Elephas maximus indicus: one gene and its partner. The protein of the gene in region 1 purifies or fractionates together with the protein of each later gene. This does not show direct contact. Links are inferred from orthologs where the notes say so. Each region holds a gene or a part of one and is shown on either strand. Other genes may lie near its edges. The genes, in order: SNAP25 and STX12.

Region 1 (17,097 bases):
CAGTTAATCACTCCTGAGGTTAACCTCTGTGAGTCAGCAATAAGAAAACAAGTTAAGTCTTCCCTCTTTTAATACAGTGCTTTTTCTTGGTGGTGAGGTGCTGAAATCTGCAATAGGAATGGGGTTGGAACGAGGGGAACCTGCCTTTTCTGTGACTTTTCAATTTAATTCACATGTGACTATGAATTTAATTATTAAATATTGTACCACCAGCTGCTGTGGTGGTACATTTTTTTAGTCTCTGAATGTTTAATTTTGTGTGTTTTGAAGCTTCCTCTTCTTGTTCCTTGTCCTTAACGCTTTCTTGAAATAGTATTTTACCCCTTCATTCTCTCAATCTGATTAGTTTTTGAGCTGGCTCCCAGTATCACGTGATTCAGGTCATATGGAAATGCTACTTTTTAAGTATTCACGAGCTCACAGATTCTATGAAACCTTCTGTTTTCTCTTTTCTAAGTGGCAAACAGCAAATGGAGTCAGGAAATAGCAGCTAATATATCGCCTCAAGCTAGAAATAGGAAACGATCAAAAAAGGGTATAGAAGAGAGAGAGAGAGAGAAAAAAAGTCAATAGACTAAAAAAAATAATTACAAAAAGTTTAGGCAGGTTTTAGGGAATAACCTGTGCCTCACAGCCATAAATCAGATTGAGAAGTGATGATTCAGACCAGGGCTTTGAGGAAAGAGACAGAATTTCAGTCTGACTGGAAAGGCTTCAGAAAGATGATGTCAAAGCAATTATAGAACAAAAAGAAAAGAGAAAGAGAGGAAAGGGAGAGAGAGAGAGGAGAGAGATCGGGAGTGCGGTGGGGAGGCCGCGGATGCGATTAATCTTAGGATGTGGGGTCAGGTCAGTTCCTGAAGCATGATTAAGGCAGTGCCAGCTGAGACCATGTGGTCACTTGACCCAGAGCCATTGATTGCTTGGGGTTTCAGCACTGGTTTTGTTGGCAGGGAGAGTGGACAAAATTAGTCCACTTCGGTCATTCTGCAGATGAAAAAACTGAGTTCAACAGTATTTGACTGATTTATTCAAAGATGGTCTGATTCTAAAACAGGATATTGCAAGCAGTTGTTTCAGGGATATACCTGGGTCTCCTGGCTCCCTGACCAGCATCCTTGCCATTGCCCTATGCTGCCCACCGAGGGGGAAAAGACATTGTGACAAACAAAACAAACAAACAAAAACCAAAACCCATGTAATTCTCTTGCCTTCTTGGACCAATATGAAGCAGGTGGAAATGATAGAGGTAGCATAGTGTGTACTACAGTTAACTCTCTGGAGTCAGACTGCCTGCACTTAAATCCCACCTCTGTTCCATGGCTTTAGGCAAGCTACTTAGTCTAACTCCGTTTCAAGTTATTCACCTGTAAAATGTAAATAATTATAGGGTGGAAACCCTTGTGGCGTAGTGGTTAAGTGCTATGGCTGCTAACCAAAGGGTCGGCAGTTCAAATCTGCCAGGCGCTCCTTGGAAACTTTATGGGGCAGTTCTGCTCTGTCCTATAGGATTGCTATGAGTCAGAATCGACTCGACGGCACTGGGTTTGGTTTTCGTTTTTTTTGAGCTATAGGGTTGATACAAGAATTCAATGAGCTAGTACAGGTGGCACTGGGCACTGGGTAGTACAGGCGAAGCTTTCAGGGCAGCTGGCTCACTTTTCTCACCCACAAGCCTATTCTCTTTGGGGCATCTCTACCCTTCTAAATCAGATTTTTGGCTTTCTAAATGTTACCTAATACTATACCTAAACTCATATGAATTATGTTTTGCACCATTTATTTAGAAATAGGTCAGAAACTGCTTGGACTTTTGTCTAATATTAGGTGAAATGCTTTGAGATCCCTGTAAAGACAATTATGCAGAAAAGAGAAGCTACTATTGTTATTCTCATTTTTTTTTCCCCATTGCTGCCGAGTCAATTCCGACTCCTAGTGACCCTATGGGACAGAGTGCAACTGCCCCCACAGAGTTTTCAAGGCTATAAATCTTTAGGGGAGGAGACTGCCACATCTTTCTCCTATGGCACGGCTGGTGGGCTCCTTATTATTGTTATAGGAATGAGCAATTCTGAAGAGTTCTCGGTGGCAGCCGGGGCTCTCTGGAAATTTCTTTGGTCTCCCCCCACTTTCCCATGAAAGACTAATTTCAAGTGTTTCTCTGCTTCCATGCCCTGCTTCCTCAATACCATATCGCATCTCCTCTTTCCTCTTACCTGAGGGGTAGGGGGCCCTCTGGACTCAGTTTAATAATCACCAGCCTAACCTCCTCTAAAGTATACGTCACTGCCTCCAAATTTCCCTGGGTAGTCAGCTTGGAAATCAAAACAACATGGTTTTGCCTCCCTTGCCAGTGTTGTAAAGCACAGATAGGCATAGTCCCTTTACACTCCATCATCAGGATTAAAATAGCAATAAAGTCCGCGTCTGCAACTGTCATTTCTTCCTCCACATGAGGCCATGGACTATTTTGGTTCGGCAGTTTTGCCAGCATTTGGAATTTGAAGCTCCGCCATGGCCATAACCATAATATTAAAAAGGAGATGGGTACAGTTTAGGTCTTGGGTTAGCTCTCCAGTGAGGGTAATCAGCAAAAGTCAACAGGATGGGTAGAGAAAGAAATACTATATATTGCTCACCTCACCTCACACCAGTTTTCTAAATTTTACCATAGCATCTCCTTTTTCTTTCATATTTAGTCACTTGGGGCTGGTTCTATTTGTCATACTGCCCAAAACATGCGCAGAAAAATGGCATCTTTTTTCATCAGTCTAGCGGTGTTTTGACAAAGCAGAGTACGCAGGGGGTCCAAGACAGTGTTCTGCATGGCCTTTGTCATTCAAGTGTGCCTTCTGGTGACCTCATCAACAGATTCCTAACCTGCTTTTCAATCTCTGACAGGTGCTCATCTTGAATATTTTGCTCCAGTCAATCATGGAAAATTGAAACTTAAAATTAACTTCTGGGCAGGGCTTATATGTCCTTGTAGGTCTAAGCATTTCAAAGTATGATTTTAAAAGGTGCCTCAATGAGGATTGATTAATTGATTTTTTAAATTAAAAATCCCTTATGATACCAATCTGCTCCCCTCTATTTCTGGAAGAGCACAAATTTAATCCACTCAGTCAATACCAATTCCTGGATACCAAAAACGACATTGTTAACTTTGAAATATCACCTTTTACTCAGAAATAAACTTTAGAGGATAAAGGAAGAAATCCTCAGCTTGGCAGGCAAAGCCTTCCACAGCAGGCTCCAACCCTTCTTCCAGCATACTCCCTGATGAAAGTTCTCCACTCCAACCGAATGGAGGGGCATTTTTAGGGTGGGCTTGACTAACTTGACGTTCTGCTTATGCTGTAATTTTTACTTAGCAGATCCCCCCCCAACCCAGCGCCGGCGACCTCCAAGAGCCAACTCCAGTCCTGCCTCCTCTTTCAGCTCAATCTAGTCCTCCTCAGAATTTACAGTCCTAAATTTTGTTTTTTTTCACATGGCAACTAATTACACACTCCCTCATGATTATTATTCTACTGTTTTATTGAGTTTTCATTTTGGTATTATTTATTCATTTTTATTAAGATCGCTAGATGCTAAACTTCTTGAGGCCAAAAGCCATATAACCATGAGACTTTCTAGCCCTGGTAGGGTTCATTTATGTATCTGGTGCTCACTGATTGATCAATATCTTCCTATCAGATTGGCCCCTGGTGACAAGGGATGACGCTGCAGAAATGTATCTGGTGCCGAGGTTAAAAACACCAATTTTATTACCGTTGTAAAACTGTAAAGCAGTTTCTGTAATGTGAAAAAGCTAGTTTATTCATACTGCAGCCTCAAAAAAGCAAATTTATCTATTTTTCTGCTTCTTGTTTCCTCTCTCAACCTGTTTCTCAAATTATTTCTCTCACTTTTACAGATCCTTCAAAACCTACATGTTTTGCTGAAGGCCAGTTACTACGCAGAGAGGTGCCACTGGCAGAAATATCAATCTTCTGGTTGATACTCTGGGGTTAACATTTGGAATTCAGGAAATGTCTTTAGACAAGCTAATTATGGGTCAGTTTGTGTTGTGTGTGTATGTGTGTGCACATATGTGGTTGCGCAGGTTCAGCAAAGTAAAAATAAAATTGTGAATTTTTAGGAGGTGGTGCCATGGGAGGTTAAGAAGATTATAAATTGTTTTGTAATCCGAATGCCACAGTGGTAATGCAGAAAATGCCAATGGCAGGCAGGTGTTACCGTCAGAGGGTCTGCGTCAGTGCTTCCTGGCTGGTCCTTGTGTCCATCTGCTCCTGCCTCTTCTTACCATATTGCCCTGGATTTTTAAAATTTGAAACCTAAAATGGAAAAGATCTGGATTTTTTTTTCTTCTGAAGCTTGTCAATAATATCAATGTTAAATTCATGCCTCAGTGATGTTTTTTCTTTAATTTTTCAGGAAGATGTCCTAGAATTCGCTCCATAATTTTGCACATCTCCTCTTCCTCCCAGCTCTGTGCCCTTTGCCAGCTTCACTGCAGTCCTCTACCGCCCTTCCCCCCTCTTCCACTAGCAAATAAACCCAGCAGTAATTACTAATGTCCAAGGATGTATTTCCGGCAGCGTTAGGCTTTCATTTGATGCAACTACGCAGAGAGCTGTCTGGACATGAAGCATGAAGTCAAAGCATTTTTTAAGACTCCTGCCCATCTTTTTTTTCTCCTTCCTCCCATCACTAAAACCCAATTGTTTATTTCTTCTGCAGATTGCAGAGTTATAAACTTCTTCCACACAATTACATACTCTTGAATACATTTCCACCCAAATAATTTTACATCCATGCACAATAACAGATCAATATATACATATTTGGAAATTCATGGTTATCTATAAAAACAAAAATAAACACTAGAAAATAAACAAATAGCTGGGAGCAAAAGTCCTTCTATGTGGATAGGGCATTTTAACACCTAGTATACAAATAATTAGTGTTACCCTGGCTAAAAACATTCCAAGATCTTATTGTGAGGCTTTTAAGAGGGTCATGATGGCGTTTCCTTAATGCGTTGTATATATTTTTTACATACGACACAGTTACTCTTATTTACCAATGACTCTATTATAATACTACTATTTTGTTCCTGGTCATTTCATGCCAATTTTATCTATATCAAATGGAAAGAAAGCTCTCTGTAATGATTTTTGCTGGCTCAGGGGCTCCAAGCCTCAGAGTAGAAAACGGTCAGAATACTTATCACCACCTCAGCAAAATCCCGCAGTGCCATAAAAGAAATTGCAGTAGATCTTAAGGTCAGAGTCTACTTTCAGTCTAACACTGTGGTTCTTTCACCTGCAGTACGCTGAAGGACACAGTTGGATCCACCTAAGAAGACCACTCTTAATGTTGTCAAAATCACAAACTATTGGCCTGAGATAGCCAGTATTCACAGGAAATACTTCCCCTAACTCTAAAACCATTAGCAAAGAGGTTAAATCTATAGACTGTGGGACTCGTAAATATTTATCAGAGATGTATTTGTGTGGGTGTGTGCTTGTATTCACACATAATTATAAGAGTGAGGGAAAAGACAGAGGGAGAAGGATTAATTCTTAAAGTAGTTGATTCTGTTTAGTTCAGCAACCCGTTTTTTTTTTTTTTTCACCAAATAGAAATACAGAGAGATGTATTCACTCCTATAAACGATAGTGTTGGCATCTTTATGTATACTACACTCATGCCTACCGAAGTTTCATAGACAGTGCAACGCCTACTCTATGTTAAAAACAAACACAAACGAAACCTTGATTATATAATTGGAGAATAAATACAAATTTTAAAAATGTGTTCATTTCCTATCTAAAAGGAGGTGAAGAGGGCATACAGAATGGTTCCACAAGTAGACTTTTTTTTTTTTTTTTAAGCTGTGCAGGAGGTGCGGAGGGAGCAAGTAATTACCTGCAAAGGAGTCCCTGTAGGCACGATTTTTTTTTTACCTACTACGCCTGCTCTATTAGGTATCTCTGTCTCCAAGAGGCAATTTGGCGTCCAATCCTGGCGCATCTCGCCCTGGCCAGGCACCTGTGCCGCAAGTAGCTGCGGCGCTGCGGCCGGATCGCTGTCCGTGGTGCTGGAAGGTCGCGGGAGCCAGCGCGGGCCCTGGGTACGCTGTCCAGGGTTCTGAGTGCGGGCCTCCGCAGTCCCCGAGGCGAGCCCACTGCCGCCAGCCCTCCACAGAGCCCTCCCACCCAGCATGACCCGCCCGCCTCCCGCCAGCCTGCAGTTGACGTGGAGCAGGCGGTATAAATCAAGTCCGTGGGGGCATGGAGGCTGCTGTCGCTGCCGCAGCTCAGCTGGCCCGGGGCGGGAACTCTCTCCTTGTCTTTTCGCCTCTCCAGCGCCCACCCTGCCTTGTCCTTAATTCTTCACTGGATAACTGCTTTCTAATCACAACGATCATAATAGGGTTAGGTGGACAGATTTTTTTGTCTGTTTGTTTTGGTCTACAGAAAAAGAAAACAGCATCCTAAACACCACTGAAAACTGCATCGCAAAATGGAAGAGAGAAGGTCCCACTACAGTTTGAAAAGAGTAAGTTATTATTTGGTACGTATCCTTGCGCTTCCTCCCATCGCTCCATCTGCAGTGTCCCCATTCATCCCTCCCCCCCTAACAGCTCACCTCGAAAATACTTTATAAAGCCCCAGGCGGGAGTCTAGCCAGACGCGCACACACAGAATACCGCACCCTAGGTGCACAAATACTTGTATTTACCGAAGCCCACTTGGTCTGCCCAGCTGTGGTCCCCTCTGAGTTTGCAGTCACCGAGATCCAGAACCATGGCCCAAGGAGGGGCTCCTTACCTTGGCTTCTCCAGAGGATGGTATTCGCCGGGACCCTGCAGGTTTCAAGTGTGGAGGAGCGGCCGAGCAGGAAGGGAAGGAAAGACAGCACCTGACCTCCCCGAGGTTTCGTCTTCAATGCAATGTGAGCTCTGCCCTCATCAAAGATGGCTGTCCCTTTTGACGTCAGCAGCTTTTAATAGCCATCTCCTGGAGGGGCGGGGAGGAAGTGTGCTGGGGGAGGGCGGAGGGAGGACAGAGGCTGGAGGTGGGAGGGGAGGAGCCGGAGGAGCGGAGCGCTTGACTCAGTTCCCTGAACGCTTCACTGCAAACCTTTGAATTTTAAGTCTTTTATAAACAGCCGAATGGGGCGATTCTTCTGACTCCATTTTAACAGTCGGTCTTGAGCAAACACATTTATCTCGCTACTATATATATGTGTATATACATATATATGTGTATGTATATGTATATATACGTATATGTGTATTTAATTTTTTATACATATATAAGTATGTGCATATATATATACGTATAACCCAAACCCTATACATATATATATATATATATATATATATTTTTTTCCCTGCTGAGTTGAATCATTGGTTGAGTCACAGTGGAAGGGGGAGGGGAAGACAGAGGACGGGGGGCGGTGATGGTGATGGAGGAGGGGTGTTGGGGGGTAGATTTCAGCAGAGATTTGTTTTCGCCAAAGAAGAGGGTTCAAAGGGGGCATCCCTGTCAACCCTGTCTAGTTCCATATATGGCCAGCCTACGTGGGTTGCTATTTTTATGAGTGATCTCTGTTTTATCAAAGCAGCATCGAGGGCTTGGAGTTCTCGTTAATGTGGTCAGTTGGAGAGAGAGTCGCAGACGTTATTTTAAAGTACGTCAGAGCAATTATCGCCGTGATATATCAAACGACTTGGGGACGCGGAGGAAAGGCAGTTAGCCCAACCAGCGTCGTCTTGCTAGGGCTCCAGGCTTGCAGTTGCGGAGGGCAACATAGATGATGCTGTTTTCGGTTGAATTTGCAATAGGAGTCTGGGGTTTGACGTTGAGTATCTTTTTTTATCCAGTAGGGCACGTATATGCCTTACAGAATCATAGAACCGCCCAGACCTCCAGAGAAAAGTAGAAGGCTGCAGGTTCAAGGGTGGCTTGGACACGACAAAATTCTGGTGGTTCATTCGGTGCGCAAACCCTGGGTTGGGGTCCCGCTGATGCTCAAACAGGGCATGGGCGAGAAAGGCTAGTTTTGCTGGTCATAAAAGATTAAAAATAATAATCATAAAGCAATAATCCTAACGGTCTTCCCTCGTGCATTAGGTGCTGGGGGGGGGGTTATGCAAACAGTTCCGCGGTGGCAGCCTCTGGATGATTCACAGGTGTTGGGGAGGCTGTCGCGGGGCTCTCCGCGGGGAGGGCGAGCTGGGGAGCGCGTGGGAGGTGGGGGACCTCAGCTGAGGAACTGTTTGTACTTTTCCGGGAGGGATGTGATTAGAAGTCGTGCCTTGCAACGTTAAAACTTGATGGCCTCTTAGACGATGGAAAATCCTTGCCTTTTTTGGAAGAAACCTTTCAGAACTGGGTCTAGGAAAACAACACACAAGGAGCCCCTCTACCCCCTCATCCCCCCCTCCCCCAAACAGCCACCAGCTGGTTTGAGAGCCAAGCTTAAGCAATAATAAGGCTTTTAATTGTGCTTGATTGGAGAGAGAGAGCTCAGGAGAGGAGGAAAGTAGAGCTGTAAAGGGACTGCGTTTAGAGGGAGCAGAGCTGTCAGACTTTAATAAAGGACGCCTCTAAGTCATTGTTTCTTAAAGCTTCTCTGACTCAAAGGGTATTTTGAAATATTACTCTTTGCAATCACAATTAACAAATGTCATTTGGATTTTTATTAAAGCTGGATTTCTAAAAAACAAAAAAAAACCATGCTACTGAAATTTGTTTACTTAATTATATAGTAAACATTTAAAATTCCTATACCATAAACAACAAGAAAATCTGTAAAGTTCTTACTTATATACTGTTGAAAGTGTCCTAGCTCTGGCTCTTACTTTTATTACAAAGCAGGGTGGGCTAGGGTGGGGGAAGTGCTGGCATAGCAAAAGCTGTTACAGTTAGGATTGTTTCCAAAATGTGGCACACACACAAAAAGACAGCATGTGGAAGTTCGGGGAAGAAAATCCTGCAGTGGGGAGAAACAAAATATGTGTCTGGCCTTCAGACTAGAAGTCATTCAGGCAGAAAGTTTTGTGAAGGAAAAGAGGAGGTGGGGGAATTTCCAGATCAAAAAAAAAAAAAAGTATAAAGGAATCACATCAGTGATGGAGGCTCATCCTACAGACAGAAGCTGAGTGGAAGTCACCAGGGGAGGGCTGGCGTGGCGTCTGAGCTTTCAACAGCTGATGTCCTACACTGACATCTTTAAAAATGATAGATAAGAAGAGAGAGCCAGGTTGATTCAAGACATCACAGAAAACATCACAGGTCCTAAAAGATATCTTGTGGTGGTCACAGCACTTTCCTTTCCCCTGTGTTTAGGTCAAAAATGATGTCCTTTGAAAGATTCATCTTATTCTGGGAAAGACAACAGAATCTAATTTGAGTAACATAAATATTGGACATTTAGCTTTATTTGGAGCTGAAAGTCTACGAAGGATGACCAAACCCAAGCCAAACCCATTTCCTCTGAGCGAATTCCGACTCATAGTGACTCTATAGGACAGAGTAGAACTGCCCCATAGTGTTTCTTATGGAAGCAAATTGCCACAGCTTTCTCCCACAGCGCAGCTGGTGAGTTTGAACCTCTGACCTTTCAGTTAGCAGCCAGAGCTTCTTCAAAGATGACTAGGTAGTGCTAAGGGGCCATAGCTGTGCAGTGGTTAAAGCGCTAGGCCGCTAACCAAACGGTTGGCAGTTTGAACCCACCCACCAGCCATTCCTGGGAGAAAGATGTGGCAATCTGCCTCCTTAAAGATTTATATAGCCTTGGAAACCCTATGGAGCAATTCTAAAAAAAAAAAAAAAATTTTTTTTTTCTATAAGGTCGCTATGAATTGAAATCAACTAGAGGGCAGTGGGTTTGATCCGTTGCCATCAAGTGTATTCCGACTCATAGTGACCCTGTAGGACAGAGCCCCATAGATAGTGCTAAATGCTTTTGGAATATAAGAATGAGATTTCCCCCTCTGCTTTTCTCATGGCTTGAGGATTAAAAAAAAAAAAAAAAAACAGAACAAAATGAAACAAACAAAAACAAAATAAAAGTCAACCTTGCCACAACCAGCAGATTTATTTTACTCAGGGTCTATAATGGCCTGAAGCACACAACGAAGGAAGGTGATGGAAAATTTGCTCCAAAATGATTCAGCTGCCTGTGAGTTATTTCTGCAAAGAACCAACACATAGAGTAACTAATGCTTAGGATCTCATTTGATGAGAAGTGAGGAAATTACCTGCTCAGCTGGATGGATATTTACACTATGCTAATTCAGTCTCTGAAAGGCTTTTCTGGTACAACATGCCCCAAAAGTATTCTGGTTCGCAATAGCTCCAGATCCAAGGAGTTTACCTTGTATTCTCTGAGGTCAGGGGCGAGATTCATAGATGACTCAATAATTACAACCTCATAAGGAATAATAGTAATAAAAACTTTTATAGAATGCCATATGATCTTCCAAAGTCAACTTGGAAGTAGTTTTAGAACAAGCCAAACTCAGAATCTCCCCTACTCTTACAACGTCCTCCTTTGGAGCATGTTTGAAACCCTGTGACAATGTCTCAAAAGACTGTTAGGGCATATCTTAGTCATCTAGTGCTGCTATAACAGACATACCACAAGTGGATGGCTTTAACAAAGAGAAGTTTATTCTCTCGCAGTCCAGTAAGCTTGAAGTCCGAATTCAGGGCTTTGGCTCCAGAGGAAGGCTTCCTCTCTCTGTCAGCTCTAGAGCTCTAGAGGAAGGTCCTTGTCATCAGTCTTCCCTTGGTCTGGGGGCATCTTAACACAGGAACCTCAGGTGCAAAGGATGCACTCTGCTCCCAGTACTGCTTTCTTCGTGGTATGAAGTCCCCATGTCTCTCTGCTGGCTTCTCTCTTTTATATCTCAAAACAGATTGGCTTAAGACACTACCTAATCCTGTAGACCTCATCAGTATAATTGCTGCTAATCCATTTTATTGCATCATAGTGATAGGATTTACAACATATACGGAAATCACATCAGAAAACAAAATGGTGGACAATCATACAATCATACAAGGGAATCATGACCCAGCCAAGTTGACAGATATTTTGGGGGACACAATTCAGTCCATGACAGGGCACAAGATTTGGGCACAAGAATATACAACTCAATAGATCAAAAAAAAAAAAAAGCCAAACCTGTTGCCATCGAGTCAATCCTGAATTGTAGGTACCCTATAGGACAGGGTTTCCAAGGAGTACCTGGTAGATTTGAACTTCAGACCTTTTGGTAGGCAGCGGTAGCTCTTAACAACTATACCACCAGGGTTTCCATTTAACAATGAACTATTTTTATTCTTTGGTTTGCTTTCCATATGGCTTGTTTGCCACTTTCTCTTTATATGTTCTTCTAGCCCTTACTCCAGTCCCCACCCACTTATAGGGAGTGACCTAGTAATACCTTGGGAAAGCTTAAATGCTGCAGATCTAAACTCCTCAGGCTGTCCTTATTCCCTGAAGCCTCTGAGGTAGGAATATATCTTGTGAGAAGTAGAAACAGAACCAGAAATATTCGTTTCTGTTTCTGGCTTGCCATGTTGAGGAAAAATAAGACTGTACACCCAGAATTTAAATAACACTTTGTTCTTTACTAAGAACAGCATTGTAGGAAAGAAGGGAAGGCACTGCTCACCAGCCAGAGGCTGGGTGCTTCCACACTCCTGTTCCATAATAAATTGCGGGCTCTCTTTTATACTTGAATGCAACTTGGGGCCCTCTCCAGTGCTGAGACACATCTTATAGTCAAGTGGCAAGGAGGAGTCTTAGGGTAATCAGGAGCAGAGGGGAAGGGGAAAATGGGGGTTAAAATTAGCAAACTTCACAAAGGCTATTTGAAAGGGATCACAATACTCCTTTAGCAAATCTTTTGAGAATCTTATTAGCTCTGTAACCTCTCTGTACCTCAGTTTTCTCATAGGAAAAATGGGGGATTATAAATGTACCCAACTTACAGAGAAACTGTGAAGCACTTAGAATTATCTCTGGCACTTGTCAAGTATTTACAGTGTCAAAAATAAACAACTCAGAACACCATTAACAGATTGTTACGCAGGTTTATTGGACAACTTCAAAGTCGGGCAGCACGTCATTACCGAGTAAATCAGTGCCCTGAGGAATTAAGAATCAGGGTATTTACAGAAAGTTTCATCAAGGACTTTGAATGAGACCATTTTGATTGGTGGACAATTATATCAGAATACATAAATCTTATAAGAGAGCAGTATGTACTCAAACATTATAAAGCATAGAAAAATTGAAATCTCCTAAGACAATCAGTGAGCCATGATTTTAAGACCTCTGGAGTTGTAGAAATGGGCCGTGTTCATTTATCTTCTATTATTTTCTGAAAGAACAAGTCCCAATGAGCCTGATCACCTAAATACAATTACGTGAAACTGAACAAGCTGCTTCTAAAGGCTAGTTACAATTTTAGGCATAACTAAGCTTAAAAATTATATATATCTCTATCTATGCTTACACAGCACATGGGTTTCTAACATTTAATAAGATGACCTTTAGTGTCATGGGCAAGAGAACACTCTCTGTTCGCATAAAGCAAAACTTATCATTTTATTTCACAACAGTATTGGTTAAATGAAAAAAATCTATGGATATGATGAGACTAACTTTCTTTCTCTAATTACTGACATGTAACTCTACTTCCATGGGAGAAAGATGTGGCAACCTGCTTCCATAAAGATTTACAGCCTTGGAAATCCAATTGGGGCAGTTCTACCCTGTCATATAGGGTCAGTACGAGTCAGAAACAAATCGATGGCAATGGGTATGGGTAAAATAGGAAGGGTTAATTTCTCCGTTAGCTAGATACATATCATTTAATTTCTTTGGGCCCTAGTTTTGTCATCTGTATTGTTTCATTCATTTACTTAACATTGAGTGCCTGCCATATACTTGGCATTAGAATATATTGGGACCTAGGTAAAACAGAGGAGAGACTTAAGGGTTAGAGAAGTTAAATAACCTGAACAACAACAACAAAATACCCCAAACCCATTGCCATCGAGTCTCCTATAGGACAGAGTAGAACTGCCCAATAGTTTCCAAGGAGCGCCTGGTGGACTTGAACTGCCAGCCTTTTGGTTAGCAGCTGTAGCACTTAACCACTATAGCACCAGGGTTTCCAGCCTGAACAAGGACACAGCTAAATAAATAGTATTGCTGGGATTTGAACCCTGAAACCCAAGCTTATAATCGTGTTACTCAAAGAAATTGAATCATAAGGTTTATTCCAAGCAGTCATTCTCTGTGTATATAGGGAGATCATCCTGATTCCAAAAAAAAAAAAAAAAAGCAAATGACTCACAGTAGGCTAGTTACAATGAATCTTATGAAGAGAGGAGGGAGAAGAATAGAAGACCAACCATTGGCTAATCTTAACATGATTGACTGAACCCTGCTTTCCCTCTTTTACTGAGATCAGTTTGTCAGGTTACTAGGTGACCCCCGGCTTGGCGGCTAAAAATTTTGGCTCTCCACCCACCTGCAGCCATGGACTTTGAGATTTAAAGTAGAGGAGCCTAAATCTTTTTCATTAAATCAGGAAGAAATGGTTTTGTTGTGACCATTCTTGTCTAGCAGGAGAAGAATTTTACATTGCTGTAGAGCAGTTTCTGGTGGGAACCAAATCAATCCTTTTGCAGTTTGGGTTAGACTTTTTAGGTTAATATTTGGTTTTATTTGGATAAGAAAAACCATAAAATCAAAGTGTGATGTCTGTTATTAATTTTCCTCTTTCACATTTCCCTGCTTCTGGTTGTGATTCAGTTAGAATCTTTGATCGCTAAGTTTTGGCCGGGTTTTTTCAGGTCTCATAGGTACTGCTTTATGGGGTACCTTTTTGTGAAACATATTATTTCTATTGGTTCCTTAGCTTTTTCACTTTGTTGTTCCTCTAGTCGAAAGGAGACCATTTGCTGTACCTTAGATGGCTGCTTGAAAGCTTTTAAGCCCCCAGACGCTAAGCAACTTAGTAGCTTAACAGAAAAGACTAAAATAAGGAGAATGCATAAGCCAGTAGTCTGAAAGGCTTGTCTGGTCCCCCCAAAAACCCGTTGCCATCCAGTTGATTCCAACTCATAGCAGCCCTGTAGGACAGAGTAGAACTGCCCCATAGAGTCTCCAAGGAACGCCTAGTGGATTCAAACCAAACTGCTGACCTTTTGGTTAGCAGCCGTAGCACTTAACCACAATGCCACCAGGGTTTCCTGGTGGCCCACAAACCCAAATTTCCTAACCATGACCCCAATCACAGGAAGATGCATAAGGGGCATCTCCAGCATGCATTGTATCTCCAACAGGAGCTTCTGCTAAAATTGTATCTCAATATATTTTCACTTAGATGCCATGGATATATATACACAACAGTTTGCTTTCACCAAAGCACAACCTCTTTCTTGGGAAGCAGGTAAATGATCAAATGATCAAGAGCTAAGCTATTCTATAATGCAATTATCCTTATCTGTGCTATTTCAGAGTATAGCATTATCTAGACTATTAATAGAGCCGTCTTGCCTAACATCATTTGTAACCTTTATATATATATATGGAAACCCTGGTGGCGTAGTGGTTAAGAGCTACAGCTGTTAACCCAAAGGTGGGCAGTATGAACCCTTCAGGAACTCCTTGGAAACCACATGGAGCAGTTCTACTCTGTCCTATAGGGTCGCTATGAGTTGGAATTGACTTGACGTCAATCGGTTTTATGGGTTTATTCTGGTTTATATATATATATGTGTGTGTGTGTGTGTGTGTGTGTGTTTTATATAGTTTAAACCAATTTTAACAACTATGGGTACCATGGCTTTTATAGAACAGCCAATTAATGCTCCATTTGTCAATGAAACCTGATTTGGTAGCAGTTTAGTCAATAGTTTGACGACCTTCAGTTTTAATCTCTGTCATATTTCCAAATTTTATTTTTGGCTAATTGATTATATATAGATAGATAGAGAACAACATAAACCATGTAACAAAAACGAGTCTAATCTGCAATTAGAAAGCAAACTCATTAGTTGTCTGTGGTTTCTCAAAGACAATGGACAAAACCCAAAATCTGATAGCCTACAAGGGCTTGCTATAATTTCCTATTGAAACAAAAAATTTCTCTGTATGGTCACTGTCCTCTCAATCAAAAGGCAATCTCAAAGCAAAGTTTTTCTTGATCTAAAACACGGCTGTTCATTAGTATTTACATAGGTACAATAAGAATGGTAATTTATCCCTTTCAAAATTGCTTTGCTGGGAGTTTTCATAAGGAACTTCAGATTAAACTTGTAAGAGCCCCTCAGGGCCAGAAAGTCAAGCCAAGAGCTTGTCACCAGATTTTACCTACAGTACCCGCAGATTTGGGTGAGTTCATTTTTCTTCTAGGTGCCAAAACATCATAAGGTTTCTGGGCCTGCAGGAAGGCGGTCTTCCTTATCTGTAAGGTTGGGAACCTTGTAAGTCAGGTCCAAATAAAACACCAAACTCGTTGCCATCGAGTCGATTCTGACTCATAGCGACCCTATAGAGCAGAGTAGAACTGTCCCATGGGGTTTCCAAGGAGCGCCTGGTGAATTTGAACTGCTGGGCTTTTGGTTAGCAGTCATAGCTCTTAACCACTGCACCATCAAGGTTTCCATAAGTCAGATGCCAGTTTAGATTTCCTGGGAGAGCTTTGTAAGCATTGGCTTCATAAAGTCAACCCTAGCGCCTTAAAAGTGTTTGGTCATACCTGATTTTCTGAACACCATTCTTAAATATGATGTTCCAGTTAAAGCTTGGTTATATGACCAGGTTTTCCAATTACGTCCTGTTAACAAGGGGGGGGGGCAGTTAATTGTTAAATTTAATGTAAATAATTATATTTCCATAAAAATAAGAACACTCATTTAGAGTTTCCTAGTTCCAGAGGGATAAGGCAGAGAGAAAAGATAAATGTTTCGTTTTTGTTTGCATGAACAGTCTATGAAATAGTTACACATTACAGAGTTTAGAAGAAAAGAGAAAGGGGTTTCTTATATTCAGAAGATAGAACATCAAAACACCAGCAATACTTCATATAGAACCCCTAATTGTTCTTTAATCCACTCAGTCCTGTAATTAATTTCTGTTCCATTAGTCCTGCATCAGCAGTCGTGAATACATCAGCTTCTCCATGAAAGTTCTGGAAATCTTGATTCATTCTAGTGGTATATGCAGTGCCATTTAAAATTCTACATCCAAATATCTGGTATAGTTCTTTTCATGGGTCCCTTTTGGTGAAAAAACTCTAGCCTGTGGTTTGTTTATTGCAAGCACCTTCAGTACGTCATCAAAGTATAAGCTATATCCAGATGATAAGACTTAAAAATAGCCATTACTAATAATAATTCATGCAAGTAGAGGACCAGATGAGAATTCATTACAAAAGTAATGCAAAGCAAAATAAGTCAACGACAACAAAAAAAAACTGTAGATAAAATATCTCTAAATATAGTGATTAACATTATTTTCTAATTTTTGAAAGGGAAAGACCATAATCCTTAGTGATTAAAAAAAAAAACTTAGATGTAAAATAGTCATGAGAAATAACATAATATGAATATAAACATATAGTTAGAATATACCAAGAATTGACCAGGATTATCAAGTTTCTAAACATCTGAATATTAATGAAACTCTAGAGGTAAACAGAGTAAATCCTCAGTTGAAACCCCTTAACATCAATACTGGTAGATTTAGATTAAAGAAGAAAGCTTCAACCAAGCTAGCAATTAAAAAAAACAACTAAATTTATGCTCTTGTTGTCTAATATTAGGCAAAATATAAGAGAAGACACTGGACACATTAAATTTTCTAACCCAAAGAAAATGAGGCATTTCTCTTGATTTGACCACATATTTCATACAACTCATGACACATTAAGTAAGCCTTATGTTTTTCCTAGCACTTTTCCCACAGGAGCAGATCTGTGGATCTCCATGAAGTTTCAAAGTTGTCAGGAGTTTTTCATAGATCAGTGAGATGGAAATCTATTTAACT
Region 2 (16,578 bases), on another chromosome or scaffold:
TTCCTCGTTTTCTTCTGAATCCAGCTTGAATTTCTGGCAGTTCCCTGCTGATGTACTCCTGAAACAGTTTTGAATGATCTTCAGCAAAATTTTACTTGCTTGTGATACTTATGACACTGTTTGATAATTTCTGCATTCTGCTGAATCATCTTCCTTTGGAATTGCACAAATATGGATCTCCTCTAGTCAGTTGGCCAGGTAGCTGTCTGCCAAATTGCTTTGCGTAGACAAGTGAGTGCTTCCAGCGTTGCATGTTTGTTGAAACATCTCAGTTGGTATCCCATCAATTCCTGGAGCCTTGTTTCTCGCCAATATCTTCAGTGCAGTTTGAACTTCTTCCTTCAATATCATCGGTTCCTGATCATATGCTACCTCCTGAAATGGCTGCACATGAACCAATTCTGTTTGGTACAGTGACTCGGTATTCCTACCATCTTCCTTTGATGCTTCCTTTGTCATTCAATATTTTGCCCATAGAATCCTTCAATGTTGCAACTCGAGGCTTGAGTTTTTTCTTCAGTTGTTTTAGCTTCTGAAATGCCAAGCATGTTTTTCTCTTTCAGTTTTCTAATTCCAGGTCTTTGCATATTTCATTATAATACTTTACTTTGTCTTCTTTAGCTGCCCTTTAAAATCTTCTGTTCAACTCTTTTACTTCATTGTTTCTTCCATTTATTTTAGGTACTCGACTTTCAAGAGTAAGTTTGAGAGTCTCTTCTGACATCCACTTTATTCTTTTCTGTATTTTTAATGACCTTTTGCTTTCTTCATTGATGATGTCCTTGGTGTCATTCCACAACTCATCTGGTCTTCGGTCACTAGTGCTCAATGTGTCAAATCTATTCTTGAGATGCTCTCTAAATTCAGGTGGGATATACTCAAGGTCCTACTTTGGCTCTCCTGGACTTGTTTTAATTTTCTTCAGCTTCAACTTGAACTTGCATATGAGCAATTGATGGTCTGTTCTGCAGTCGCCCCCTGGCCTTGTTCTGGCTGATGATTCTGAGTTTTTCCACCATCTCTTTCCACAGATGTAGTCAATTTGATTCCTGTGTATTCCATCTAGTGAGGTCCACGTGTACAGTAGCAGTTTATGTTGTTGAAAAAAGGTTATTTGCCCTGAACAGGTCATTGGTCTTACAACTTCCAACATCATGCGATTTCCAGCATCATTTCTATCACCAAGGCCATATTTTCCAACTTTCTGATCCTTTTGTTTCCAACTTTTGTATTTCATTCGCCAGTAATTACCAATGCATCTTGATTGCATGTTTGATTATTTCAGACTGCAGAAGCTGGTAAAAGTCTTCAATTTCTTTATCTTTGCCATTAGTGGCTGGTGTGTAAATTTGAACAATAGTCGTATTAACTGGTCTTCCTTGTAGGTGTATGGATATTATCCTATCACTGACAGCATTGTACTTCAGGATAGATCTTGAAGTGTTCTTTTTGATGATGAATGAGACTCTATTCCTCTTCAATTTGTCATTCCCAGTATAGTAGACCATCCCAGAACCCAGTACCAGTGCCGTCGAGTTGACTCTGACTCATAGCGACCCTATCATTATCCAATTCAAAATGGCCAATACCAATCCATTTCAGCTCACTAATACCTAGGATATTGATCTGTATGAGTTCCATTTCAAATTGAATGCCAACTAAATAATATCCACTGCTGTGCCAGGCACTGTAGCTAAAGAGAAATATATAATGCATGGTCTCTAGCCCCACAAAACTAATAGTCATCTCTCTAGATGTTATGACAGGTCAAAAAGCATGAATTATATGAAGAAACACAATATAAGTAAGTGCTAAACTGTGAGGGGAAAATGCTTACAAATCCAAAGAAAAAAAAATAGCTACCATTTCTATAGCACTTATGCCATATGAGTTAGAATCAGCTCAATAGCAACAGGTGTGCCACAGGCATAGTGTTATGGATTGAATTGTGTCCTCGAAAATTATGTATTATAAATCCTAACCTCTATGCCTGTGCTTAAAATCCCAGTTGGGAATGGATTCTTTGTTATGTTAATAAGGCAGGATTAATGTAGGGGGTGTCTTGAGTCAATCTCTTTTGAGATATAAAAGAGAGTAAATAAGAAAGCAATAAGCACAGATAGGCAAGTGAGATGCCAAGCCACCTCAAAATTGCCCAGAAGCAGAAGCTCAAAGAGATAAGAATCTTCCTCCAGAGTCAACAGAGAAAGCCCTCACCTAGAGCCGACACCCTGAATTGAAACTTCTAGCCTCCTGAACTGTGAGAAAATATATTTCTGTTTGTTAAAGCCACCCATTTATGGTATTTCTGTTATAGCAGCACTAGATGACTAACACACACTATTTTAAGCACTTTATATAAATTGCCTCATTTAATCCTCACACCCTGATGAAGTAGACATTATTATCAACTCCACTTTATAAATGAGGAAACAGAAATAGACAGGTAAAGTAATATGTTTATATAGCTAGTAAGAAGCAGATCTAAGATTGAGTCTGACTCCTGTACCTACCCACCTAACTGCTAAACTATAACGTGTGTGTGGTGGGGGGGGGGGGGGCGGGGGAGTGCTCAACAGGTAGTATCACCTTTTGTTGCATATCTACTGTGTGTACCAGCACTATATCAGAAAACTTCAAACATTCCTCTTTAACAATTCTATTCATTTTACAGCTAAGGGAGCAGACAAAAAAAGGAAAATAACCTGCCCAAGGTTAACAGTACACGCAGCAGCAGAGGCTCAATCCAGATCTGCTAACCCTAAGGCCCATGCTCTTCTGTGACTTTCCTTTACGTTTCAAAAGCAAAGGAAGGCTTCATTACAAGGGGAAGGATTTAAGCACAACTCAAAGGATCTGTATAATTTAGAGAGCTAGGAAGACAGGGAGAGGACAGATAGTAATGACAGGAGGAACAGGATGCGCAAGAACTCGAGCAAAAACAGCGTCCAGGAACATTAAGAAAAATAGCCTGCCTGTAGCAAAGGCTGAGGAGGAGTACAAAGTATGACTAGTGTGGGTTAAGATTTCAGAGAGAATGGAATGTTAAAATTTGATGCAGTAGACAACAGAAAGTCACCGTCAGCTCTTGAGGCGAGTGGCGTAATGAAAACGGGATTTTAGACATACATCACTGCTATGTTCATCCACATTATCAGGATAAAATAGAATGGGGAAAGAGTACAATGAGAGACACTAGCTTAGAGTATGCTGTTGGCATACAGGTATTGAGATTATAAAGATTTAAGAGGGTGGCAATGAAATAAAAAGCAAGGGGCAAATGTGAAAATAACTTCGAAAGAAGAATCCGCAGGATTTCATGATAATCAGTTTTAGAAGTTCAATTGCTTTTTGTTATTTTAGGAAACAAAAACATATCAATAAATTATCAATGTAAGGAACAGAAATGTTGTTTTTGAATCTCCTAAAATAGTTAACTTTGAGGCTGTTGTGCTTTTCCCTATAGTTGACCTTGCAATACTCCCCAGACCTTCCCTTCTACAATAGACAAAGCCAAGTATTTTTCCTCTGTGCCCCACACATTCCGATACCAGCCTTTTGTACCAGGCAGTCAACCTTAGCTGTACCTATAACAACCCCCACACAGTGACCTGCTGTATCTCAGGCTGATGGGTTCAGCAATTCCAAACCTGTGCCAGTGACTGGACAATTTAGAAAAAAAGACAGATATTCTCTCAAACTTTCAAAGGGTACTTGCAGGCCTATATAGTGTGGGATATACCCATGAGCTCACATTCAGAGGGTATACTTGAGTATGTTAGCCACATCTTAGAGAGGTTTGAGGGATAGGCACTAGTCATTTAACTGGGTAGATGCAATGTCGTTCTTCCAATTTCCTAATTTCTACTTCCTCACCAAACAACTCCAAGGGAAGAATTTCATCTTGTACTGTTTGGAGTCATACAATGTGGTAGGTACCAGATACTACTATATGGCATACAATGTGGTACCACATGGTATAAGGGGAAAGAGGCAGGAAGAGTTCTAAGGTAGCAGGAAAATCACATTCATTCAAATCAATTCAATAATAATTTATTAAGCATCAAGATATAAGATCTGATGCCCAGTTACCTCTCTGACCTTTTTTTCCTACTATGCACCCTTTTTTTTCTGGAACCCTGTGGCACAGTGGTTAAGGGCTCAGACACTAACCAGAAGGTCGACAGTTCGAATTCACCAGCTGTTCCTTGGAAACCCTATAGGGCAGCTGTACTCCGTCCTACAGGGCGGCTATGAGTTGGAATCAACTCAGCAGCAGCACGTTTTTGGGTGCACCCTTACGTTAACTGCAGTCGAGCCACACTGGCCTTCTCACTATTCTCTGAAAACACCAAGGTCTTTGCTCTTGCTGTTCTCTCTGCCTAGAATAGCTTCTCACACAGCTCCTTCCCTCACTTCCTTCAGGTGTCTACGAAAACGTCACCTCCTCAGAGAGATCCTCCTTGACCAACTTATCTAAAATAGCATACCCACCCTCCTCTCCCTTCACTCTCCATCCCTTTACACTATTTTTCTTTGTAGCACTTATTACTTGGGAATATACGTATGTCATTGTTGTTCAGTGCTGTCGGGTCTATTTAGACTCACAGTGACCCCGTGTAACAGAGTATAACTACTCTATAGGGTTTTCTAGGCTGTAATCTTTACAGAAGCAGATCTCCAGATCATTCTCCTGAGGAGCCGCTGGGTGGGTTCAAACTGCCATCCTTTCAGTTAGCAGCTGATCACTTAATCATCGCACAACCAGGGCTTCATACACAGACACACACACACACACCCTCTATCAGGGCAGGGGCTTTATCCATCTTTCTCATTCCTCTTACCCCGGTACCTAGAACAACACCTGGCACATAGCCAGTGCTCAAAGAATATCTGTTAAATAGGTGAATGAATGAGTCTCCCATATGCCTGGGACTGAGATGAGTACTGAGAATATAAAGATGAGTAAGTCATGTTCCCTGCCTCAGAGGAGCTAACAATCTACCGGGGAGACAAGACACACCACAAGAAGGGAATAGTAGAAACCCCACCACTTCAGAGTCTCCTCTGGAGAGTGGAAAAACAAGTCACTTGTATACTTAAGTGTTAGCTACTACAGAACTCTAATAGTAATTTTAAAAATTTGAAAAAGGCTAATTGCTGGTCATAAGGGACAGACCTGGTTTCAAATTTAGGCACTGCCATTTATGAACTAAGCAATTATTGAACTTCTGTCGGACTGTATCTTAATCCTTAAAATGGAAATTCTATTGGTACCTATTTCACAGCGATATTGGAAAATTAAGCCAGATAATACAGTGAAAATATCTTTCCTATAGCCTGGAACACAGTATGAACTCAATAACTGTTAGCTATCAGTGTTATCATGGTTGATTCCAATGACCCCCTTGAAGCTTTATCCAGTCAAAAACTGTGGTGAGTTGCTGTCGAGCCGAGTCTGACTCATAGCGACTCACAGCAACCCCACGTCTGCAGCACAGAACTGCGCCATAGGGTTTTTAGGGCAGTGGCTTTTTGGAAGCAGATCACCAGGCCTGTCTTCTGAGCCACCTTTGGATAGGTTCCAATTACCAACCTTTCTAGTTGTTAAGCACTTAACTGCTTGCATCACCCAGGGACTATTTAAGCCTTATCAATTCTATCTCCAAGGAAATATCTCCTATCCTTCCCTTCCTTTTCACTCTCACAGTCCCTAACTCGTATCTCTCATTCCAGTTATGAGTTAGTTCCATATCTCACTCAATTATACATTCTTAAAGAATTAAATCCAAGCCCCTTTGGATTTGAACTTGGATTTAAACCCAAACACTAAAAGCCTTTCATGTTTGGGCCCCAACTCATCTTTCCAACCCTATTTTCCACTGCTTTCCTGAGTCCATCACTCTAGCCATATTGAATTATTCTGCTTTTCTATATACACCCCCTGCCTTCCCACTACCATGCTGTTCCTCATTTTATTCCCTCTTTCTGGAATACTCTTTCCTCTTTACCTTCAAAAATCCAAACCCTTACCACCATCTTTCCAACCAAGCTCAAATGCCTTCCCTGATTCCTCTCAAGTGAAAATGGTCTCCCTCTCCTGAATACCCACATAATGTTATTTGTACCTCTTCTATAGCACTGATTCCTTTCAACCTTACATTTTGGTTGTTGTGGTGCAGTGAAGTACTTAATATGGCCCTTCTAGCCATAGTCTTTGTGACTCCCACACAATGATTGGGTCCCCAATCTACTGCCATTGACTTGACTCTAACTCATAGTGACTCTTTAGGACAGAGTAGAACTCCAGTATAGAGTTTCCAAGGAAGAGCTGGTGGATTTGAACTGCTAACCTTTTGGTTAGCAGCCGAACTCTTAACCACTGCACCACCAGGGCTCCAATGATTGGGTAGGACCATGCAAATAAGGTGTATGGACACTAATGAGGGGATTGGTCAGTTTTGCCACCCTGCTAAGCTTAAAAGAGAGCCAATTCCAGAGCAGAGGGGGAATCTGACTACCACCAAGAAGAGACAGGAGCAGAGAGTGTCCTTTGGATGCTGGGTCCCTGCACTGGGAACCTCCTAGAACCAGGAGACCAAGAGACAGAGCTGTAACACCGAAGAGGGTGGCAGCATAGAAACAGCGGCAGCAGAGGCAGCAGAACCAGGAGGCCAGCAGGAGACTATGTTGTGGGTGTGTTGACCCACTGAGCGAGAAATCTGAGCACCCTCAGGTAAGAGGCTTGCTGGTGGGTTGGAGTGGCTCCGGACACTTGTCAGTAGAGCTAGGTTCGCTGACCCACGGAGCCAGAGCTGAACGCCTTCAGCCGAGGCTTACTAGTCGAGTTGGTTGCCTCCGGGCACTTACCAGGAGAGCTAAAGAGCTTTGTAACGCTTGCCCAAGCAGGGCAGAGGTCTGGCCAGCCCAAGAGGCCCCGGGCCGGGGGGTGAGCCCATGGGCCAGAGAGAGGCCTGCCTGCTGCACAACCGAGAAGAGGCTGTCCTGATCGAACAGCTGTATCCTGAGCGTTCCTCAGCCTCAGTTGTAACCTGTTACTTCCCTAATAAACTCCGTAACTGTGAGTTCTGTATGGCCATTGCAGTGAATTATCAAACTCAGCAGAGAAGTAGAAAATGCCATGGGAGGGGTGGTGTCAGAATTGGTAAAAAGTTGGAGAGGAGTTATGTCTGACGTCCACCTTACATGAATCAGCCGTGAGCTGTTGATGCTGACAATGAATCTCCTCCCTGCCTTGTGAAGTTGGATGGGGAGGTCAGACACCACCCCCATGCCATTTTCACAGTTGTTTATGAACTGCACAGGCTCCCTGGGGAAAGAATTTTGTTTCGGTTCCTCTATTTTCTATATAGCCTGATACTCAAACAAATATATGTTGAATGAATATTTCACAAATACACAGACATTAAAATTCGATTTAGCCTCAACAACAGCTTTCTGCCTTGAACCAGAATTTTCTGATCTAACCTGCATTACTGCTCCCTCACAAGAGAAAATTGGAGCTTTCTAACCAGTGGTCATATTAATCTTTTTTTTTTTTTTTAATTCTGGGTTTAACAGGATTATATTCTTCTTTCCACTTCCAAATCAGCCAGTCTCAATCCCTTCCCATCAGAAACTTTCTGCCTCTCAAGTTCCACAATCACCATTTAAATTGAAAAGCAAAGTGATAGATTATTCTTCAAAATATAGAACAAAATTGTAGTACAGGACCAACTAGTTCTACCTATTAACAGAGTACAGCCAAGCTCAAAAAAACACAATCATAAGCGACGATAATGATCACCATTTGTTCCAAGTAAAGTTGCTGCTGCCCACCTCCTGTTTACAAAGCTCTGAGCTGATTTTCAGGCCCAAGATACAGGTTGTATTTGACTCATTCAGCTACAGCCTCACTCAGACCCTAATGGTGAGGAGGGAGTTTTAGGACAAACAATGACATTCTGAATTTCACCACTACCTACCAAGTCTTACTTGCTATGTGATTGTCGCCAAGTCCCTGGACTTCTCTGTGCATCAGATTTGTTCAAGAGTAGCTAAATATTAAGAAGAACAAAAGCCTCATATGCTTGAAATCCAAAAATATACCCAAATCCTTTGTTACGAAAAAATAATAATAATGTAAATTGAAACGTTTTTGGTGAATCCTCTTCATTAAAACAGAAGTCATCTCACTCAAATACTAATCATCACATCTGATCCCTCAACTCATTTACAAGAATTATGTATAAGTCACCCGAAAACATACACTCTCCACTTCCTTTAATTGAAAGTTGCTGATTTCCTAGGAGCCAGTGGCTGAGCAGAATGTAAACCTAAAGCCTAAATCAGTAAACAACCTCCGATCCAAACTGGCCCAAGAAGAAAGCGAGGTGGGTAGGGGGAAAGCGGGTGACAGGAAAAACTCGGCTGACCACTGCGCCAAGTCCACGCATTCACTGCTCTCCAGGACACACACACACACCCCCACCCTAGGGCTGTTAGCTGTGCTGTTGAGGCCTCAGCACCGTGGCGACAGAACTCCTGAGAAGAAACTCGAGCTTCAGCAGCGGCTCGGGACCCTCGGGGAGTCGGGCCTGACAGATTAGGGGATGGCAGCCCGGCGGCCCCAGCGTGGAGAGTCCAAGACAGCCTCAGGTGTGGCTTTGGTCTCAGAGCCGGTTGGGTTCCGCGTCCCGGCAGCCTCACCAGGCCTGTCCCGGGACGGCCCCCGCCCCCCAGCCCAGTCCCCTGTCTCACTGGCTTGGCTGATCCGCTGGATGTTGCCGCTGCATGTCTGGATGATGCTGTTGAAGTCCCGGAGTGGGGGCCCTGAGGGCCCCGGGTTCCGGTACATGTGTAAGGGGCCGTAGGACATGATAAGGAGCTGAGACCGGCTCGCCCTGCGCGGTGCTCCAACCGGAAGCAGCTGTCAGACGGGACCGGCAACCTGACGGGGAAACCGGGCACAGAAAGGGCGTGGAAGGGGCTGAAGCTGCGTGCGCACTAGCTCCGCCCCCATGCAGCGCGCACGCGTCCGCCCTGCCCCGCCCCGCCCCGCCCCGCAGCGCGCGGGCGCCGCTGAAACCAAAGCCTGGGGAGAGTTTAGACTAGACGCGCGGAAACTTGGGGATGCGGGCTCCTGACGTCACATAATTGGGACTCGGCTACTTGGGTGGCGGTGTTGTTTCTTGCAAAGACACAGTGACAGGCGGCAAGAATTTTCGATTTGCATAAAATTGTACCAGATGATCTCAGCCCTGACATCCTTTTATGTTCTATTCTGAGAATTCAGGCCCAAATATGGGAAAATTCGATAACCTCGAAACCAAGCCCCTGAAATTGCTCGCTCCACTTCTGAACTCTAGGGCTTTGGTAGTATTTGCGGGGCACTTTCACGGTTCACAAACGATTTTCATTTTTCCCTCCACCCCTCTTGTAATTCCAAACAATAAAATAATATTTATTGAGCATCTACTATGTGTGAATCCTCACTGCAATTCACTTGTTGATAAGTTTTTTCACGGCAAGTCACGATGTTCTATCTATATTTTTAATCTTCAGAATAGATAATGGACAAATTTTTTAAAATCTTGAAGTAACCAGGCAAACTAAGCATTATTATTTTCCTTTTTACAGATGAGAAAATTAAGATCATAGAGATTCTCTTTACTGAAGTTTGACTGCAAAATCTGTACACTAAGCTAACTCCATCATCACCTATTGCCCTAAAGTTTATCCCCTTATTCTCAAATTCATTCTCCATGTAAACCCCTCCCAAATAGCCTCTTCATCTGTATCCCAGACGGGGATTTCTTGGAGAACTATAGTCCCAAAATGTAAAAATCATTCCCTTAAGTAATTTGGAGAATAAGACCTCAATGTTCCAGTAAGACTGCATTTTGTCAGTGAAAGGAAAGGCATGGGTAGGATTTTGATTTGGGAGGGAGTCAAGACACTGGAGGAGTGAAGGGGAGCTGGTAGTGTGCTTTCCTGTGTTCTCCAGCAGCCCTGCCCTAGGTTGCTGTGCAGTCTGTGGGGAACGGCAGAGAAAGAGGAAGCTGCTTCCCTGTGTTTACATATGTGGGAAGGGGCCCCAAATGGGTAAATGAGCCTGCATTCAGGCTCAGAGCTATTATAAGCAAGACTCTCTTTTTCTTTAGTGCATTTATGAGAACATTTCTTTCTTCATAGAAAAGGACATGACATTTGGGGCTCTTGTTTTATTAAAACCCTGTCATTTCTTACAATCCATAGTTTCATGTCAAGTCTTACAGAAAATTATATAAATTGTACGTTTTACTCATAAAATACTGTTGAGGATGTTTTCATTTACATTTTCATTACATTTGACACTGTATAAAGTAAAGTTGAAAAGTACTATCTTAATAATGGAAATGATACCAGAGATCACATGATAGAATTTTGCAAGACCAATGACTTCTTCATTGCAAATACCTTTTTTCAACAACATAAACAGCGACTATATACGTGGACTCCGCCTGATGGAATACACAGGAATCAAATCAACTACACCTGTGGAAAGAGATGACAGAAAAGCTCAATATCATCACTCAGAAGAAGGCCAGGGGCCAACTGCTGAACAGACCATCAATTGTTCATATGCAAGTTAAGCTGAAGCTGAAGAAAATTGGAACAAGTCCATGAGAGTCAACGTATACACCTTGAGTATATCCCACCTGAATTTAGAGAGCATCTCAAGAATAGATTTGATGCACTGAACACTAATGACCAAAGACCAGACGAGTTGTGGCATGACATCAGGGACATCATGCATGAAGAAAGCAAGAGGTCACTGAAAAGACAGGAAAGAAAGAAAAGACCAAAATGGATATCAGAAAAGACTCTGAAACTTGTTCTTGAACATCGAGTAGCTAAAGTGAATGGAAGAAATGATGAAGTCAAAGAACTGAAGAGATTTTAACGAGCAGCTCAAGAAGACAAAGTAAGGTATTATAATGACATGTGCAAAGACCAAAAGAGAAGAACATGCTTGACATTTCTCAAGCTGAAAGAACCGAAGAAAAAACTAAAGCCTCAAGTTGCAGCATTGAAGGATTCTATGGGCAAAATACTGAACTATGCAGGAACCATCAAAAGAACAAGAAAGGAATACACACAGTCACTGTACCAAAAAGAATTAGTCGCCGTTCATCATTTCAGGAGGTGGTATATGATCAAGAACCGATGGTAGTGAAGGAAGAAGTCCAAACTGCACTGAAGACGTTGGTGAAAAACAAGGCTCCAGGAATTGACAGAATACCAACAGAGATGTTTCAACAAACGGATGCAGCACTGGAAGTGCTCACTTGTCTATCTCAAGAAATTTGGAAGACAGCTACCTGGCCATCCAACTGGAAGAGATCCATATTTACGCCTATTGCCAAGAAAGATGATCCAACCCAATGCAGAAATTATGGAACAGTATCATTAATATCACATGCAAGTAAAATTTTGCTGAAGATCATTCAAAAGCAGCTGCAGCAGTACATCAACAGGGAACTGCCAGAAATTCAAGCCAGATTCAGAAGAGGACGTGGAACCAGGGGTATCATTGCTGATGTCAGATGGATCATGGCTGAAAGCAGAGAATACTGGAAAGATGTTTACCTGTGTTTTATTGACTATGCAAAGGCATTTGACTGTGTGAATCATAACAAATTATGTATAACGTTGCAAAGAATGGGAATTCCAGAACACTTAATTGTGCTCATGAGGAACCTGTACATAGACCAAGAGGCAGCCTTTGGAGCAGAACAAGGGGATACTGTGTGGTTTAAAGTCAGGAAAGGTGTGCATCAGGGTTGTATTCCTTCACCATACCTATTCAATCTGTATGCTGAGCAAATAATCCAAGAAGCTGGACTATATGAAGAGGAACAGGGCATCAGGATTGGAGACTCATTAACAACCTGCATTATGCAGATGACACAACCTTGCTTGCTGAAAGTGAAGAGGACTTGAAGTACTTACTGATGAAGATCAAAGACTACAGTGTTCAGTATGACTTACACCTCAATATAAAGAAAACAAAAATCCTCACAATTGAACAATAAGCAGCATCACGATAAATGGAGAAAAGATTGGCGTTGCTAAGGATTTCATTTTACTTGGATACACCATCAACAGCCTTGGAAGCAGCACTCAAGAAATCAAACAACACATCACTGCACTGGATAAATCTGCTGCAAAAGACCTCTTTCAAGTGTTAAAAAAGCAAAGATGTCATTTTGAGGACTAAGGTGCTCCTGACCCAAAGCATGGTGTTTTCAATCACCTCATATGCATGCGAAAGCTGGACGATGAATAAGGGAGACCAGAGAAGAATCCATGCCTTTGAATTGTGGTTTGGCAAAGGATGTTGAATATACCACGGACTGCCAAAAGAACAAACAAGTCTGTCTCGGAAGGAGTACAGCCAGAATGCTCCTTAGAAGCAAGGATGACAAGACTTTGTCTTACATACTTTGGATGTGTTATCAGGAGGGATTAGTCCCTGGAGAAGGGTAAAGTAGAGGGTCGTCGAAAAAGCAGAAGACCCTCAACAAGATGAATTGACACAGTAGCTGCAACAATGGGCTCAAACATAACGACCATGAGGATGGCGCAGGGTTAGGCAGTCTTCCTTCTGTTGTACATAGTGTCGCTGTGAGTCGGAATTGACTCCACGGCACCTAACAACAACAAAGTAAAGTTCAGTAAAGGTATTTATCGCCTAGGAATTGAAGTTACAGTTGTTTTTTTCCTCCATTTGAAATAAAAGTAGTTTCCATCTGTTCATCTTTCATAGCAGTAAATTTGTGCCTTATACATGCCAAATATTTATTGAACTCATACATAAATAATAAAAATAACTACCATTTCTTAAATACCTATTAGGCGCCAAGCAATGTGCACACATTTTACATACATTATTGCTAATCCCCAAGGTAAAGACCATCTGTGGTCTGACAAAATTAAGCTTATTAACTTGCTGCAGCCAGGGAGACTGTAAAACAAGTGGATCCTGGAACATCTCATCAAGCACAGGAAGAGACAGAGTTAGTTATTCTAGGCTTTGAGGGAAAGATGGAGGGTAGGTAAAACGTAAAAGAAGCAGTATTTTGATAGCCTCAAAGCACACCCAGGCTATGTATAATAGGATTGACATCAGGCCTGAACTAACTCAAAGGCTTGGGAATCCTGTTTCCTTGGAAACTACAATGTGAAGATAAATGTGGAATGTTGTATCTGGAAATCCCTTATCTGAAGCTCTGCACCTGGGTTGGAAATTGAAACTGCTTCTCTCTGTCAAAGTAACCCAGGTTCTCAAAGCAAGAGTAGAATGTTCCATTCTTATATAATTTCCAACAGCAAATTTTCTGAAAATCTGATTTTAGAAAATAAGGTTTCTCAGCACTCTGTCCTTGTGTTAATTAACAAAAACAGTTTTTCAAGTTGACACTCAGGAAGGCAAGATTAGCTCCTTGGTACAGACAAGGAAACTGGTATTCTCTAGAGATTATGGGTATTTGCCCAAGGTCATACAGTTGTTAAGTGGCAGAGCCAGGACTCATACATAACCTATGACCCAGAAAGTCTACTTCTAATTATATATGCAACAGAAATCCATACATATGTGTTCCAAAAACCAGGTATAAGAACGCTCATAGCAGCATTTAAAAAATGTCTTAGGCAACTGGACTAAACCAAAAGCAGTTTCCTGAATAAACTGAACACTTCGAAGGCCAGCGTAGCAGGGGCGGGGGTTTGGGGACCATGGTTTCAGGGGACATCTAGGTCAACGGGCATAATGAAATCTGTTAAGAAGACAGTCTGCATCCCACTTCGGAGAGTGGCGTCTGGGGTCTTAAACACCAGCAAGCGGGCATCTAAGATATATCAATTGGTCTCAATCCACCTGGAGCAAACAGGAATGAAGAACACCAGACACAAGGTATTTATGAGCCCAAGAGACAGAAAGGGCCACATAAACCAGTGACTACATCAGCCTGAGACCTGAAGAACTAGATGATGCCTGGCTACAGCTGATGACTGCCCTGACAGGGAACAGAACAAAGAACCCCTGAAGGAGCACGAGAGCAGTGGGATGCAGACCTAAAATTCTTGCAAAAAGACCAGACTTAATGGTCTGACTGAGACTAGAAGGACCCCGGAGGTCATGGTCCCCAGACCTTCTATTAGCCCAAGACAGGAACCATTTCCAAAGCCAACTCTTCAGACAGGAATTGGACTGGACTATCATTTTTTTTTTTTTATCAGATAGAAAATGATACTGGTGAGAAGTGAGCTTCTCGGATCAAGTAGACACATGAGACTATGTTCGCATCTCCTGTCTGGAATGGAGACAGGAGGGCAGAGGGGGTGAGAATCTGACCAGATGGACACGAAATAGAGAGTGGAGAGAAGAAGTGTGCTGTCTCATTAGGGGGAGAGCAACTAGGAATATATAGCAAGGTGTATATACATTTTTGTATGACAGACTGACTTGATTAGTGAACTTTCACTTAAACCACAATAAAAATAAGAAAAAAAATTTTCTAAATGTCTAGGACTGAGAACGTTTTTCCTGTCTTTAATTTTTATTGAGTTATGACTGACATAGAATACAATGCACAGATAATAAGTGTTCAATTCAATGAGTTTTGATACTTGTATACACTCAGGTAGCTGCTGCCCAAACAAAGATATAGAGCTTTCCCGTCATCACCCCAGAAAATTCCCTCAAATCGTGCTTCTTTCCAAACGGTTCCCCTCGTGCTCAGAAATCATCTTCTGATTTTTATCACTACAAATTAACTTTGTGTATTCTTGGATTACAGAAATGGAATCGTACTGTATGTATTATTTAGTGTTTGGCTTGTTTCACTTAACAAGCTGTTTTTGAGATTTATCCATGATGTTGCATCTATCTGTGGTTTGGTCCTTTTTATTGCTGAGTAGTATTTCATTACATAAATATACAACAATTTGATTATTCGTTCTCTTATTGATGGATATTTGGGCTATTTCCAGTTTGGGGTTATTATGAATAAGGTCATAGCAGCACTTATTTTTAATAATTCCAAAGTGGAAACCACCCAAATTTCCATCAACAGCAGGATGGGTAAATTGTGGAACTACAGAGCAAAATAAATAAATAATAAATAACCTACCACGATGTGAATAATGTGGATGGCCTCTCCCAAACATAATGTGTAGCCAAAGAAGCCAGACACAAAATAAGTACATGCTACGTCATTCCATTTTTATTAAGTTCAAACCTGGGAAAAATTAAGCTATATTATTAAAAGTCAGAATTGTACCTTTGAGAAAAGAAGGAATGACTAGGAATGGACACATGAGGTGGGCTTCTAGAATGCTGGTTTCTTTATCTAGGTGGTGGTTATACGGATGTGTTTACTTTGTGAAAATCCATCGCCAGACACTTGTGAAGTGTGCCCTTTTCTGTGTGCACTTCAATAAATAAGTTTCGTATTTTAAACATAAAGCATTCTTATCACCAGTATGATGAGCTTCCTGAATCGTAGGGGAGGGGGGTCAGTGGAGGAATTCACTTAGATTGCAAAAAAGACTGCACTAAAATTAGCGGTCTATCATACATTGCTGGTGGGAATGCAAAACGGTACTTGCCACTTCAGAAGTCTGGCAGTTTCTTATAAAGTTAAACATAAACTTATTTTACAACCCAATAATTCAGCAATCCTACTCCTAGGTATTTACCCAAGAGAAATAAAAATACAGTGAAACCTCTGAGAGCAGGGAACTCGACCTGACTGCCCTGTTTTTCCACATCTCACAAGTTTTCTGACTTCGACAGGGTGCAGTCTTACCACTTTTCTATCGCTTGTTTTAGTGGAAAATATTTTAGTTTTCCCTCTCTAACAGGTTTCTGCTTTACACAGGTTCTGGCTTTCAGAGGTTTTACTACACATGTCCATACAAACACCTGTGTGCAAACATTTAAGGCTACTTTGTTTATAATAACCCAAAACTGGAAACAACTCAAATGTCCATCAGCTACTGAAAAGATAAACAAATTATGGTACATCCATACAATAGAAAACTATTCAGCTATAAAAAGGAACAAAGTACTGAAGCATGGGATGAACCACTGATATATGCAAACACGTGGCTGAATCTCAAAAGTGTTATGCTAAGTGAAAGTAGCCAGGCCCAGAAGGCTACATATTGTACCACTCCATTTATATGACATTCTGGAATAGGCAAAGAAGAGACAGAAATGAGATTAATGGTTGTCTGAAGCTGGAGTTGGGCTAAGGGTATCAACTACAAAGGATACAAGGGAACTTTTTGGGGTAATGGTAATGTTGCATATCTTGATTGTGTGGGTGATTAGGCAACTGCATACATTTGCCAAAACTCATCGATCTGTACACTAAAAAGAATAACTTTACTGTATGCAAATTATATTTAATAAACCTAACTAAAAAAAAAAAATGCCATTCTAGCTATCAGTGCAGTAAAGTGGCGTGCATGAGGTAGGTAATCTGGAGTTGAAAAAAAAAAAAAGGTGCAGAAGTTGTAGATTACATA

What was found.
Region 2: the proteins of SNAP25 (region 1) and STX12 purify together in Homo sapiens (co-immunoprecipitation; 3 studies listed by BioGRID and IntAct, with this or other methods). This does not show direct contact. The link is inferred for Elephas maximus indicus from reciprocal best matches to the Homo sapiens genes SNAP25 and STX12.

The regions. Positions count from the first base shown.
Region 1 is NC_064843.1:48,984,375-49,001,471, reverse strand, and holds the start of SNAP25 (synaptosomal-associated protein 25), read right to left. Parts: upstream 6,975-17,097; 5' UTR 6,843-6,974; intron 1-6,842.
Region 2 is NC_064821.1:68,155,221-68,171,798, reverse strand, and holds the start of STX12 (syntaxin-12), read right to left. Parts: upstream 8,995-16,578; 5' UTR 8,879-8,994; coding exon 8,761-8,878; intron 1-8,760. UniProt on the Homo sapiens protein: SNARE promoting fusion of transport vesicles with target membranes. Together with SNARE STX6, promotes movement of vesicles from endosomes to the cell membrane, and may therefore function in the endocytic recycling pathway.